2 linked regions of the Kluyveromyces lactis genome follow. The protein of the gene in region 2 purifies or fractionates together with the protein of the main gene of each other region. This does not show direct contact. Links are inferred from orthologs where the notes say so. Each region holds a gene or a part of one and is shown on either strand. Other genes may lie near its edges.

Region 1 (7,063 bases), on a different chromosome or scaffold from region 2:
CATTTCTCACATACATTGATTAAGATCGGTGATTACCATCCGAAAAGCGTTCTGCAGTGCAAGTACCTGTTTATCATCTGCTCTACGACTGGACAAGGAGAACTACCGCGTAACGCAAGAGAGAACTGTAATGGACGGGCTCAGGGGACTCTCTGGCAGTTTTTGAAGAAATCTACACTTCCTGCGGATCTTTTAGATCATGTTAACGTTGCCATGCTTGGGTTGGGTGATTCCTCGTATCCAAGATTCAACTTTGGTATCAGAAAGCTTCATGAACGTATTGTCAATCAACTTGGCGCTAGTGAGATTTTTCCACGCTTAGAAGCTGATGAGTTGGGACTTGCTGGGAGTAATAAGGATACTGGAAATGGAGTTGAATCCGTCTACTATGAATTTGAGAAAAGAATCATCGCCTACATGTTAGAGAAGTACCCCAACAGAAAGCACGATGGCAAAATGATGCCCAGAGTAGGCCTAGCCGAAGATGTTTACTTGAAACCGAGCAATATATTAGAAATATCCACTGTTAATGGATCGACAAATGATCAGCTACCTGATTCTAAGATTCAATTTGTTGGAGATGAGACAATAAGACATGGAACCGTTAAGAAAAACAACCAAATAACTGCTAAAGATCATTTTCAGGACGTTCGACAATTTGTGTTTGAAACCGAGGATCATGAAGCCTATCATCCAGGCGATACAGTTTCTTTATATCCCGAAAATTCAGACAATGACGTTGAATTATTCCTCGAAGCTCAACCTCATTGGAAGAAGGTCGCTGATGAACTTCTTACAATAACAGACCTGGAAAATTGTGATCGGTTCAGAGATGGTGGTGTTGTGAAACCACTTACTCTAAGAACCTTGTTAAAATATCATTTTGATATCGTCAGTATACCTAGGCAGAGCTTCTTCATGAAAACTTGGACTTTTGCAAATGCTCACGAAGATAGACCAACCGATCAAGAGCTATTAGAACAACAGAGGGATAAACTAAGACAGTTCGGGTATGGACAAGACCTACAGGACTTGTATGATTATTGCAATAGACCAAGAAGATCAGTATTAGAGGTTATACAGGATTTTGAATTCTTAAAACTTCCATGGGAGTTCGCATTAGATTATCTACCCATGATAAAGCCCAGATTTTATTCCATCTCAAGTGCACCATCTGATCCTAATGTTGAACTAACTATTGCTATTGTTCGTTATAAGACTTTGTTAAGAAAGGTACGGAAAGGACTATGCACGAACTACCTACTTACATTAACCGAAAACGATACAGTTCGTTATAAACTTCAAAATAATCATTTACTTCATGAAGATATTATTGGCAAACCTATCATCATGACTTCTCCGGGGGTAGGTCTCGCACCAATGAAGTGCTTGATCGAGTCTAATTTATTCAAGGATCAGTACTTATTTTTTGGTAACAGAATGAAGGATAAGGACTTTTTATATGAAGATACGTTATCTATGTGGAAGAAAGAAGGTAAAATTAATTTATTCACTTGTTTTTCGCGGGATCCCATAAATTCTCCTCATGCTAAGTATGTTCAAGATCAGTTGTGGAATCAATCTAGTCTAATAGCAGACCTAATTTTGAAAAAATCTGCCATAGTATATATTTGTGGATCCTCCGGTAAAATGCCAGTTCAGGTTAGGTTGACTATAGTTGAGATCCTGAAAAAACATGGAAACTTCGAAAACGCAGAAGAAGCCGAGCATTATCTAAAAGAAATGGAAAGAACTGACAGGTATATGCAAGAGACATGGTAGTTCAGTCAAGATTGAAAAAAGCGTCAACTTCATACCACACGGTATTTCTTGGAAACTTAAAGGGGTTCTTTGAATCATCTCCAACCACATGCTTTTCCAAGGCCGAGATTCTACCCATTGCCCATTCCCTATCTTTCAATAATTCGTAATTAGACGTTGAGTTTCTAAGAACGTATTTGATATCAGTATTTGTCGCAGTGAAAATTGCCCATACAACATGCTTCTTGGCCGAATCTTGGGTGTTAACATTGAATGTATCCGGTCTGCCATTAGCGTTGAGTGCAGGATTCCTGTTCGCTTTACTTAATGGAATATTTTCTGTGATAGAAGCAGAGCTTCCGTTAAGAATGCTAGCTGCAATATCAGACTTGACAACATTTGGACGTTGCATAACAGACTGTGTAGATGAGTTTAAATCAATGGATGAAAATGAAGAATTTAGCGACGATATTGAAGAATTTAATAGCAATTCCTGATCGTTGATTGGTAAAAAAAGAGCAAGATCTCCCGGTTGGAAGTTATATATTGTAATTTTGTCTCTAGCACTTTTCTGCAAAAGGAGTTTTTTATTCTTGTTCTCTTTCCTAAGCTTTTTCGCCAAACTTTCGATATCATTGAACCTGCGGATCACTGACGTTTCGAACAATTGGTTACCAAATAGTTTTTCTATGTAGGTAATGAAATTTTCATGAGGTTTGTAGTCAATCTGATCCTTTATAGATTCGAAAGTACTCTTTATTTCTTGTGCAATTACACTTTTTGCCATGGAACTATTCATATCAGCCAAACTTGAATCCAGATCTTTTCTTAAACCTTTGACGCGAACAATTTGAAAGTTTCCATCTTGATCTTTGGAAAGTAACAACCCGATACTCGCCAAAATGAAAATACTACCTTGGAAAACATCATATAAAGTTTTTTCCAATTGCTTATTAAAGTTGATAAACTCTGCATCAATTGTTTTGCTTTTTGATATTTGCAATTGGTTAAGATCTTTTTTAAGACTTTCAACTTCTTCTTGCAAGGAAGCCCGTTCCTGTTCTGCTTGAACTTCTTGGGTTGCCATATTGACAAGAAGATCTTCTTTCATTTTGTTTAAATCCTCGGATTTCCGTCGGGATTCTTCAGATTCCCTTACAAGTTCCTCATTTTGCTCAAAGAGGGATCCTAAATGCTTCTTGAAATTCTCCGAACGAGAATTCATTTCAGAATAGAAGTTTTCGCGTTCAATCAACAACGTTGATAATTCTTTGTTTAAATTTGTCATGGATTCTCTGTAAGCATTTTTCTCGACCTCCATATGGGAAAGTTGACTTTTAAGTGTTGAAAGTTCAGTTTCAAGGGTCTTGGTTAATTCAGAGTATTTGCTTATATCCTTTTGCAGGTTTTGAAATTCCTCGAAGGTTTTATTTGATTCGTGTTGTTGTTTGGAACTTGGGAGATCGAATGTTGAACTTTGCTGTAACTTTGTGCTCACGGTACTATTGCGGAACATTTGGACCATTGCAGTTTCCTTATTCAGAATGCCAGCTGGCCATGAGTCGTACTGATGGAACTGTGCATCAAGTAATAAATGTTCTAGCTTTTTGATACGAGCCTTGTATCCTTCAATGATAAGCTCCGAGTCCTTCGAGAGCGCGTAATCTGTAGGTAAATGCAAGCCTGTCAGCTCCGCCTGCGAGACTTTTGACTTAAGTAAATTAATTGTAGGTTCACCTAAGTTCAATGAAGCAAGTTGATTAATATAATCTTTAATCTGAGACAATGTCACCTGTTTATGATCACTTATGGACGGAATGTATACTGATGATGGTAGCAAACTATCAACATCTAGAAATCGAGTTATCCATTGGAAATCTTTGTACCAAGAGTTTCTTTGTCGTACTTCGTCATCCAAAAGATGCTGCAATGAAGATTCATGTTGTTGTCGAAGTTGAGAGTAACGGTCTGTCCAGAGCTGCTCTCTGTATAACTCAATCAAATACAATCCATAACACATAGGCAAATCCAATACTTGAGATAATTTCAGTTCTTCATTCTTCAAAAACTTCATATTGGTCTTAACGTCTTTAGTTAACACCGACTTCACCATTATTACGCTCATCTGCGATTTTGCAACGGAAAGGTACAACTGTTGCAACTTCTGCTGGACAGTAGCTTTTGTATCTAAATTCGTGGAAGCTTTATTGAACATTGCTTGCGAAATTGTTTGTAATTTGGGGACATGTACACTTTTGAATGTTTCAAACTTCTCTTTTGAAGCATCTTTAGAAGCCTCTTCTTTATATTGATTTGATACAAGCTCAATCTCTGTAGCCATTTCTTTAAATCGTTCAACCATTTGGTTGTCCATATCATCAGAACTGACAACTGAATTTTTTTTCACATCATCTAAATCTGAGATTAACTGTGTTCTCTGCTGGTAGCATTCATCAATACTTTTCTTTAACTCCTTTAACTTCGCATTTAGTTCACGATCCAGACGGTGAATGGAATCCTCGATCTCTGTTAGCTCGCTATAATTGAAAAATGATGATAATAACTGATTAGAAACTTTAATATTGCCGAGAATATTATCATAAAAGGAATGCCATTGATTTGAGGCACCATCTTCGTGAAGCTTGTTAAGAAAATCAACGTTGCCATTATACAGCACCTCCACTTCATAGCAGTAGTTTTTCAAATACTCAAGCATAACAGTACCACACTCTAATAACCGTTGAACGTCTTGATAAGTTTCTTTTATAACGTCCTGGAAAAATTCAACGTCTGATTGCAAAGCCTTCAACCACCCTAAATTCCGTAGAATGACATTTTTATCCAACTGTAACGAATCGCTTATCGGCGATGGCAAAGGTTTGAAAAGTTGGAACCTTGGCTTTGGGGAAAACTCGATCTCCTCATTGAATATTCCACGGTCAAATACGTATATTTCTTCCAATCCTTCTTGTTGCAGCTTTCTGGAATCCCATCCTGCTTTCTTCAATATCATTCCATAAGGTAACAATAGAAGTATGTCATCGAGCGGTATCTGGAAAGTATCACTTGCAAACTGTTTCAAATCTAAGAAACTAGGGAAATAAACATTAGATAATTGGTGTGAAACTCCTGATGTAGCACATATCAACTTGCATGGCGGCATTATTAATAAAATTATCAGATTGTAACCTTAAGACTTTGGAAAGAAATAAAGGGACAATGTCGATTTAATGATGATGAAATGGGGGGTGTTAGCTCACAGGATTCTATATCATGAGTATTCTTTAAATGCTGAGATATATCTAATCTGGAGTACTAAAGCCGTAAGCAACAAGTGGAATAAGAGCCGATAAACGTCAGGGGACTGAAAAACTATGTAACAGGTTTTCTCACCTATAAAACTTACCGGGGGGTCCATATAATCTTTTTTCGAATCAGTTTGGTGAAGCAAGAGCACGTGACTGATATGCTTTTATTATAAAAATTTGGTTTTAAACCTCCAGATGATGAGATAAACAGTTTTAAGTAAAGCTTTTTATATTCGCTAGCTTCGGCAGCATCTACTCTCATTGATATAACTAATTAAAAATTAATAAGAAAGTATACTGCAGATAAACTAAGCAAAGGATGGTCGAAATAAGGTACACACGATTCGATATCAGTAATGACATGGAGTTTTCCACCATCAAGAAATTGATCGATGAGGATCTCAGTGAGCCATATTCGATATACGTGTACAGATTTTTCCTAAACCAATGGCCGAACCTAACGTATTTGGCATGGGCAGAAGGATCGGGTAAGCCCATAGGATGTATAGTATGCAAGAGCGATACTCATAATGGAGTGCGGTTAAGAGGATACATTGGCATGTTAGCAGTGGAGAAACAATATAGAGGCCGTGGGATAGCGAAAAAACTAATTACCTTAGCTATAGATACTATGATTGATGAAAAATGTGACGAGATTATGTTGGAGACTGAATGCAGCAATGCAGCTGCTTTGCATTTATACGAGAATATGGGCTTCATCAGAATGAAGAGATTATTCCGGTATTATTTGAACCAGGGAGATGCGTTTAAACTCATTTTACCGATTACAGAGAAAAGTTGTGTGAGAAGCACATTCCTGGGGATGGATTCCTTTCCTACCGACACCATACTCTAAAGTAAATTGAATTGATTTTATATCAGTAATTGTCATTTTAATACACACACAATATATATATATATATAGCATTGCGAAAAGAGATTTCATTCCTCTTCATCGAACTTTGGAGCCAAATAGAATTGCAAATTACCGCTTGAGATATCGAATTGGAAAAGGGCTGGCGCTTCTTCCGATAATTTTATAGTGATTGTATCTGATAGAGAGGACCCCTTAATGATGTCGTTTAAATATTTAGCACCGAACCTTAAATCTACTGGTTTTTCTATGGTAACTTTAATTGAACTTTCAGGATGATCCAAATCGGTGAAAGGTTTCACAACAATGGACCCACTTCCGATATCACCTTCTGCGGCGAATTTGATGGTATCCTTAGTGACTAAGATGTTAATAGAATCACTCAATTGACTTAAGTCACGTACGGTCTTCGCGAAATCAGCAGATGGCATTGTAATATAGGATTCATATTTCATATCAGAGATCTCCAAGAAATCTGTTTCGATTTCCATCAATTTTAAAGAGTATTCACTGACACGGTCTCTTTTTGTATCTTCGAATAAGATTAGAATAGAATCTGGAGAATCTTCAGCGATAAGCGTTAGATTGTCCGAATTGTTACCACAACGAAGAATCTTACTCAAGTTCGTCAAATCGCAACCTAGCACGACATTTCTGTCCGCTCTAAACTCTTCAAATGCTTCTACATTGATGGAAAGAGAGACAAGGAGGACACGAGAGTCATCGACGGCTTGTGCAGCGATACCCTTTTCTGAACAATTGAAGTTAATCAATTGGACACAGTCTCTAAAGGAATCGATAATTCTTTTGAATAACCCAGCTTCTGTGAATTTAGCTTCTAGCATTGATAATAGGTAGGTCTGTTTGATGTCAGAGGTGAGAAGTGAATACTCTTGGACTATCGAGAGGAGCAGTAGTTTCACGGCCTTGAAGGAGTAAAGATATAGTTATATAACATTGAAAATTGTTCTGGGTAAAAAAAAGTGAGACGCGTTCTTTTTTTTTTTTTTTTACTTCCTTTCCTAAACCACGCGTTTGGCTGGAAATATATCCGGGTAATCTATCACGTGACTATTAATACCATGTCCTCAACTCGGGCTCGCAAAGAGCCACCTACCTG
Region 2 (5,190 bases):
TAATATCATATATATATAAAAGAGATCAAATGTAAGTAACTCTATTCGTCTAGCTAACTTTGAAGCAAGTAGTACTGTAGGCAGATAGGTCCATGTTCTACATTGCATCGTTCTGTCTCATCACATGCAAGTGGGAACTTCAAGTTTCTACTGAGTTAAATAGTGAAAAAAACTAAACAACCATGCATGGAAACTACCTACACTGGAAAGATCGAATTAGAAATGTAATTACAACAACGAGCTGAGAGTTCGCTGTGGGCAGATTCATTGAAGAGACTCGTTCTGAAATATGTTATTAAAGCGAATAAACTACCTACCAGTACGAAATGCGGGCGTACCTTGTCAGTTTGTCAAAAGACTCTGTTCCAATCATAATGAGGGCCCACAAGCTGTCGATAGTGCAGCCACCACTGCACATGAGGTATCGACCAAACAGGAGTTATACATAACAGATCCAATATCACCTGGTTCAATCTTTTTCTTGCCTAATGGTACCAAAATCTTCAATAAGTTGGTTAGTTTTATGAAGCTTCAACAGCAGAATAAATACGGATTCCAGGAGGTGGTTACTCCATTGATTTATAGAAAAACCTTATGGGAGCAATCTGGACACTGGGAAAATTACAAGGATGATATGTTTAGGGTTGAGGGCAATGACGTTTCTAAGGAAGAATATGGTTTGAAACCGATGAATTGTCCCGGGCATTGTGTAGTTTTTAAAAGATTCGACAGATCCTACAACGAATTGCCATTGAGGTTCTCAGATTTCTCACCATTGCATAGGAACGAGGCATCTGGTGCTTTATCGGGTCTAACAAGAGTCAGAAAGTTTCATCAAGATGACGGACATATCTTTTGTACACCTGATCAAGTCCGTCAAGAGATTCAAAAATGTTTGGAGCTGGTGGATATGTGTTATACAAAAGTGTTCCCAATATCGGGTGATTCAAAGCAGGCAGCGTACTCATTGACCCTCTCTACTCGTCCTGAGAAGTACGTTGGCGATATTGAAGTATGGGATCATGCTGAAGATGTATTAAAGGATACTTTGCAATCGTGGGGGCAACCATGGACAACCAATGAAGGAGATGGTGCCTTCTACGGTCCTAAGATTGACATTTTAGTCAATGATCATACAGGCAAATCACATCAAGTCGCCACTATTCAATTAGATTTTCAATTGCCAGAAAGATTCGATTTACAATTCAAGGACAAGGATAATAGTTACAAGAGACCTATCATGATTCATAGGGCTGTTTTCGGTTCGGTGGAAAGATTCATGGCCATTTTAATTGATTCAAGCAAAGGTAAATGGCCGTTTTGGTTGAATCCAAACCAATGTATGGTCATCCCAGTGAAGACTGAAGATGAGAAGATAATGGAATTGGCTTTCAAGACAGTCAACTCATTACGTGGTGAAAATAGTGATCCAAAAAGCCCAATTCCACTCAACAGCTTCCATTTCTCTGTTGATATGGATGCAAGAGATGAATCTGTAAGTAAAAGAATTAGAGAAGCCATCAAGAAGCATTATTCTTATATTATAATGATTGGTGACAAAGAAGTTGAAGCAGGCAAGGTGGCGATTAGAACCAGGGAGTCGAAGAAAGTGGATTTACTAACTATCGATGATGTCTTTGAAAGGTTCGTCGATCTTGAGAAAAATTATAAATGATACCTTGCAATTTTTGAACCACAGAAAGTAATGTTAACCATAACGATGTAAAAGATAATTTATACCTGTAAATATGTATACTTATGTATCAATAATAACACAATACCGTCAATTCGGTACATTATGTATGCTATATTCGAAACTATACATCGATTCCATATCGTCGATATAACCTGGCCAGATGTTTTCGGGAAGATAGTCACCATTTTCAAGTAAAAATTGCTGGCGTTGGTCCAAGTCAGCATCACTCAGTGCCTGTAGTTTCTCCTGACATTCCTTTAATATTTTCTCCATTTGTAACGCAGTGGCTTTCCGTCTGTCTCTTTCTCGTAGAAGGTTTTTATACCCTAATTTGAACTTATCGTAAAACTCACAGAGTTGTTGCACTTGTTCAATCTTTTTTATGCAAGATTCCTTATAAACGAATACTAAATTAGCAATCTTTTGGAAGATAGATAAGTATTCCTCACATTTTTCTAACTCTGTCACAATCTTGGAAGCCAGCAGATGGAATCCACCAATTTTGTCCATTATTTCACTTATTGTTTCATTGACTTTCTTTGAGAAAGCTTTCACTTCAAGTCCCGTTTCGAATACTAATTCCCTTATATTTTCTAACTGTGTATCGTCTTTCTTTACAATCTGGAAAAGTTCCTTCAAATCTGGTAGTGGAATCTGCTGTTCCTTCAATATCGTGCATTTGTCGAAATGATCAGTGATTGATCTCAAGAAATCGGCAAGTTCATTCTCAAATTCGTTCAATTCAGTGACATAATCACTTTCCAACAATTTGAATAGATTATTTTTGCTATCCCTGCTGAAATGTGAATCAAAGTAAGTTCTGAGTTTTTTCAACTTTACAGCCACTAGTTGGTTTTCTATTCGATCTTTTATCGATTTGTAGTGTTGTCGTATGTTTGTCACTTGTTGTTTTATAATAGGAATCTCATCGATTTTTTGTTGTAGTATGTCTACGTGATCCATGCATATGAAATCTGAAAGGCTACTGTGATCGTCAGTCAAGTCGTATTTTGTACCCTGCAAGATCTTCATCTTTGTTGTTATCTCGTTTTGCCAATAACTCACGTCATTGACTATCTCGACTAAAACCAGCTTTGACCATTCATTGTCAATCAACTCTGTAGAAATACATTTCTCGAGCATGATATTCTTGAAGAACTCAACCTGGTTCACCAAACAATTAAGTATAAATTTAAGTTTAAATCTGGACTTTTGAGAGCTGTCCATTTCAGTTCGCACTTTAGAGAGGATTTTTAATGATTCTTCACATTCGACTTGAGCTTCCACAAGCTGGTTTCTCGCCTTATTCCACAATTTATCTATCTCATCACTGGGTATAGTAGTTGCAGCATCACTCATTTCTTGTAGACGCAGTTCAGATCAACCGAAAGATCTTCATCTCTTCAACGTTTCCAATTTGAAACCCTTAAACGGTCAATTTCACTTCGAAGACTGAACTTCAAACCTTTAAATCTTTTCAAAGTATGAATAAATACCTATTAATCGGAGTAAAGATTGAAAGGAGTATCAGTCACTCCAAGTCAGCTATTACTACTCCAGTGATTCAGTATAGATGTCAGAACATATCAGTGACGATGATCAGTTCAAAAGAAGAAAGATCAGTATGACAATGAATAGTATGGTATTTACCGATCCATATGGATATAGCGATGACAATGAAGAACAAAAAGAAGAAGAAGACTATGAACCGGTACGACAAGCCAACTCCAATGATGGATTGAAAAGCGACCAGATGTTAAAGACCTATGGTATGGGTGCCAAGCTTTTATCAAAAATGGGTTACAAACAAGGTGAAGGTTTAGGACGAGATGGGAAAGGTATAGTGAACCCAATCGAAACAGTCACTCGTCCTAAAGGTGTCGGATTAGGGATGTTAAGTGCAGTACATGATAGAGATGACTCCAACTATAGTAATACTTCAGCATCATCAGATGAAAGTTCAAATAAAAAGAAAACAGTGGAGTTTAAGACTCGTCGTGCCACCCAGCTTGAGAAATTGATTCAAAATATAAGTCTCCTTGCGGAATTAAAAATAGAACTACCTGATACGGTGACAAGAACAATCAATGGTTCTGAATTACATGAAGAAGAGATTTCCTCTTTGAATGAAATTGCTAATAAGCTTCTGCAGCTTCATTCGGACATAGATAGAATACAAGTTGGCTTGGAAAAAGCTCAACTAGATGACGAGCGCAAAGTACACCAAGAGGAAAGGCTACAAAGTGTTTTAGAAAAAGTCAAGGAAAAACAACTTTCGCAACCAAGTCTTGAAGATCAGATTACTGAATGCCTAGAAATAAATGACGATGACATACTTGATAAGCTCTGTACCATGTTCTTGCTCAAAGAGCTTAATCGTGGAATTAATACGGCAGATATGCAGGTCGAAAAGTTGAACCATTTGAGGGCAGCAATAAGGTTTCTTTCATATAGAATGGAATCTGGATATATTTTGAACGAAACACAAAGCAGCATTTATAGGTTGGTGTATCAACCCTTATGTTATTGGTTAGATTCAAATACCGGATATTCGAGGATGCTACGTCAAATAACCGTTCAGTATTTACCTATTATTGACTTTATTAGCTGCAGGGAACACTTCCTTTCCCGCTACATTATGCCGGCTCTCGAAATACAACTTTCTCCTCAATTTCTGTCAGATGAATTCATGGTGACATACGGCGAGTTGCATCTCATTTTGGGAGAAAGGGATTTAAAGTCATTAAAAGCACTTATCCTGCTGGAGTTCGAGCAGTTTTTGAAAAATTGGGAACCTTCAATGACTGTTAACCCTCAAAACGTTATTCTCTTGAAGGAGGCAGTGGGTGACTCCAAGTTTTATGAATTAGTCAACAGGTATTGGCTTTCATCTTTCGCTGATTACTTCGATTCACACTTTCACCTGATTGACGAATTTACCGATGCAGAGAATGAAATTTACATTTCAGCTATTATTGATGTGTTGAAAGAATATAATGATTTCTTCGATTTGCCAACCAGGAATAAAGTATATAAGGTCATTAACAACTCGCTATTAAAGACCTTATTCCAATGGTTTGTGTTTAAGAGCAGCACCTTCCGTTATGAAGCTTCTTCATGGCTAAAATACATGATTAATAGAATTTACACTGCATCTTCATTAGATAATGTAGAAGAAGTGAAGAAACTTCTTGACTTTGTCGATCATCCGTCAACACTTTCGGACCATGACGAACGGCTTTCCTTGAAAAGTTTAATTGAAAGCACTGGCCAGTCGGAATCCAGGTTCAACGCTTTTAACAATACACCCATGACCAAAATTTCTACCACCTTTAAAACTGTTGTAGAAACTTTTTGTCATGATCATGGATTATCCTTCAGAAAAACTGATAATGATACTGCCTCAATTAATATATTTGGCAAAGAGAAGGTAGCTCCGGTATTCACTGTGAGTAAATATAACAATAAAAGAGTAAATGTAGTCCTTATGGGAG

The links.
Region 1: the proteins of ATG17 (region 2) and ATG11 purify together in Saccharomyces cerevisiae (affinity purification with mass spectrometry; 4 studies listed by BioGRID, with this or other methods). This does not show direct contact. The link is inferred for Kluyveromyces lactis from reciprocal best matches to the Saccharomyces cerevisiae genes ATG17 and ATG11.

What each region holds. Positions count from the first base shown.
Region 1 is NC_006038.1:1,056,719-1,063,781, reverse strand, and holds ATG11 (autophagy protein ATG11), read right to left. Parts: upstream 4,925-7,063; coding exon 1,784-4,924; downstream 1-1,783. Other genes in the region: TAH18 (NAPDH-dependent diflavin reductase), read left to right, coding at 1-1,782; peptide alpha-N-acetyltransferase MAK3, read left to right, coding at 5,389-5,925; POL30 (proliferating cell nuclear antigen), read right to left, coding at 6,012-6,788. UniProt on the Saccharomyces cerevisiae protein: Involved in cytoplasm to vacuole transport (Cvt), pexophagy, mitophagy and nucleophagy. Recruits mitochondria for their selective degradation via autophagy (mitophagy) during starvation, through its interaction with ATG32.
Region 2 is NC_006040.1:231,246-236,435, reverse strand, and holds ATG17 (protein kinase regulatory subunit ATG17), read right to left. Parts: upstream 3,056-5,190; coding exon 1,784-3,055; downstream 1-1,783. Other genes in the region: threonine--tRNA ligase MST1, read left to right, coding at 290-1,675; mRNA splicing protein SPP382, read left to right, coding at 3,270-5,190. UniProt on the Saccharomyces cerevisiae protein: Autophagy-specific protein that functions with ATG13, ATG29, and CIS1/ATG31 in response to autophagy-inducing signals as a scaffold to recruit other ATG proteins to organize pre-autophagosomal structure (PAS) formation.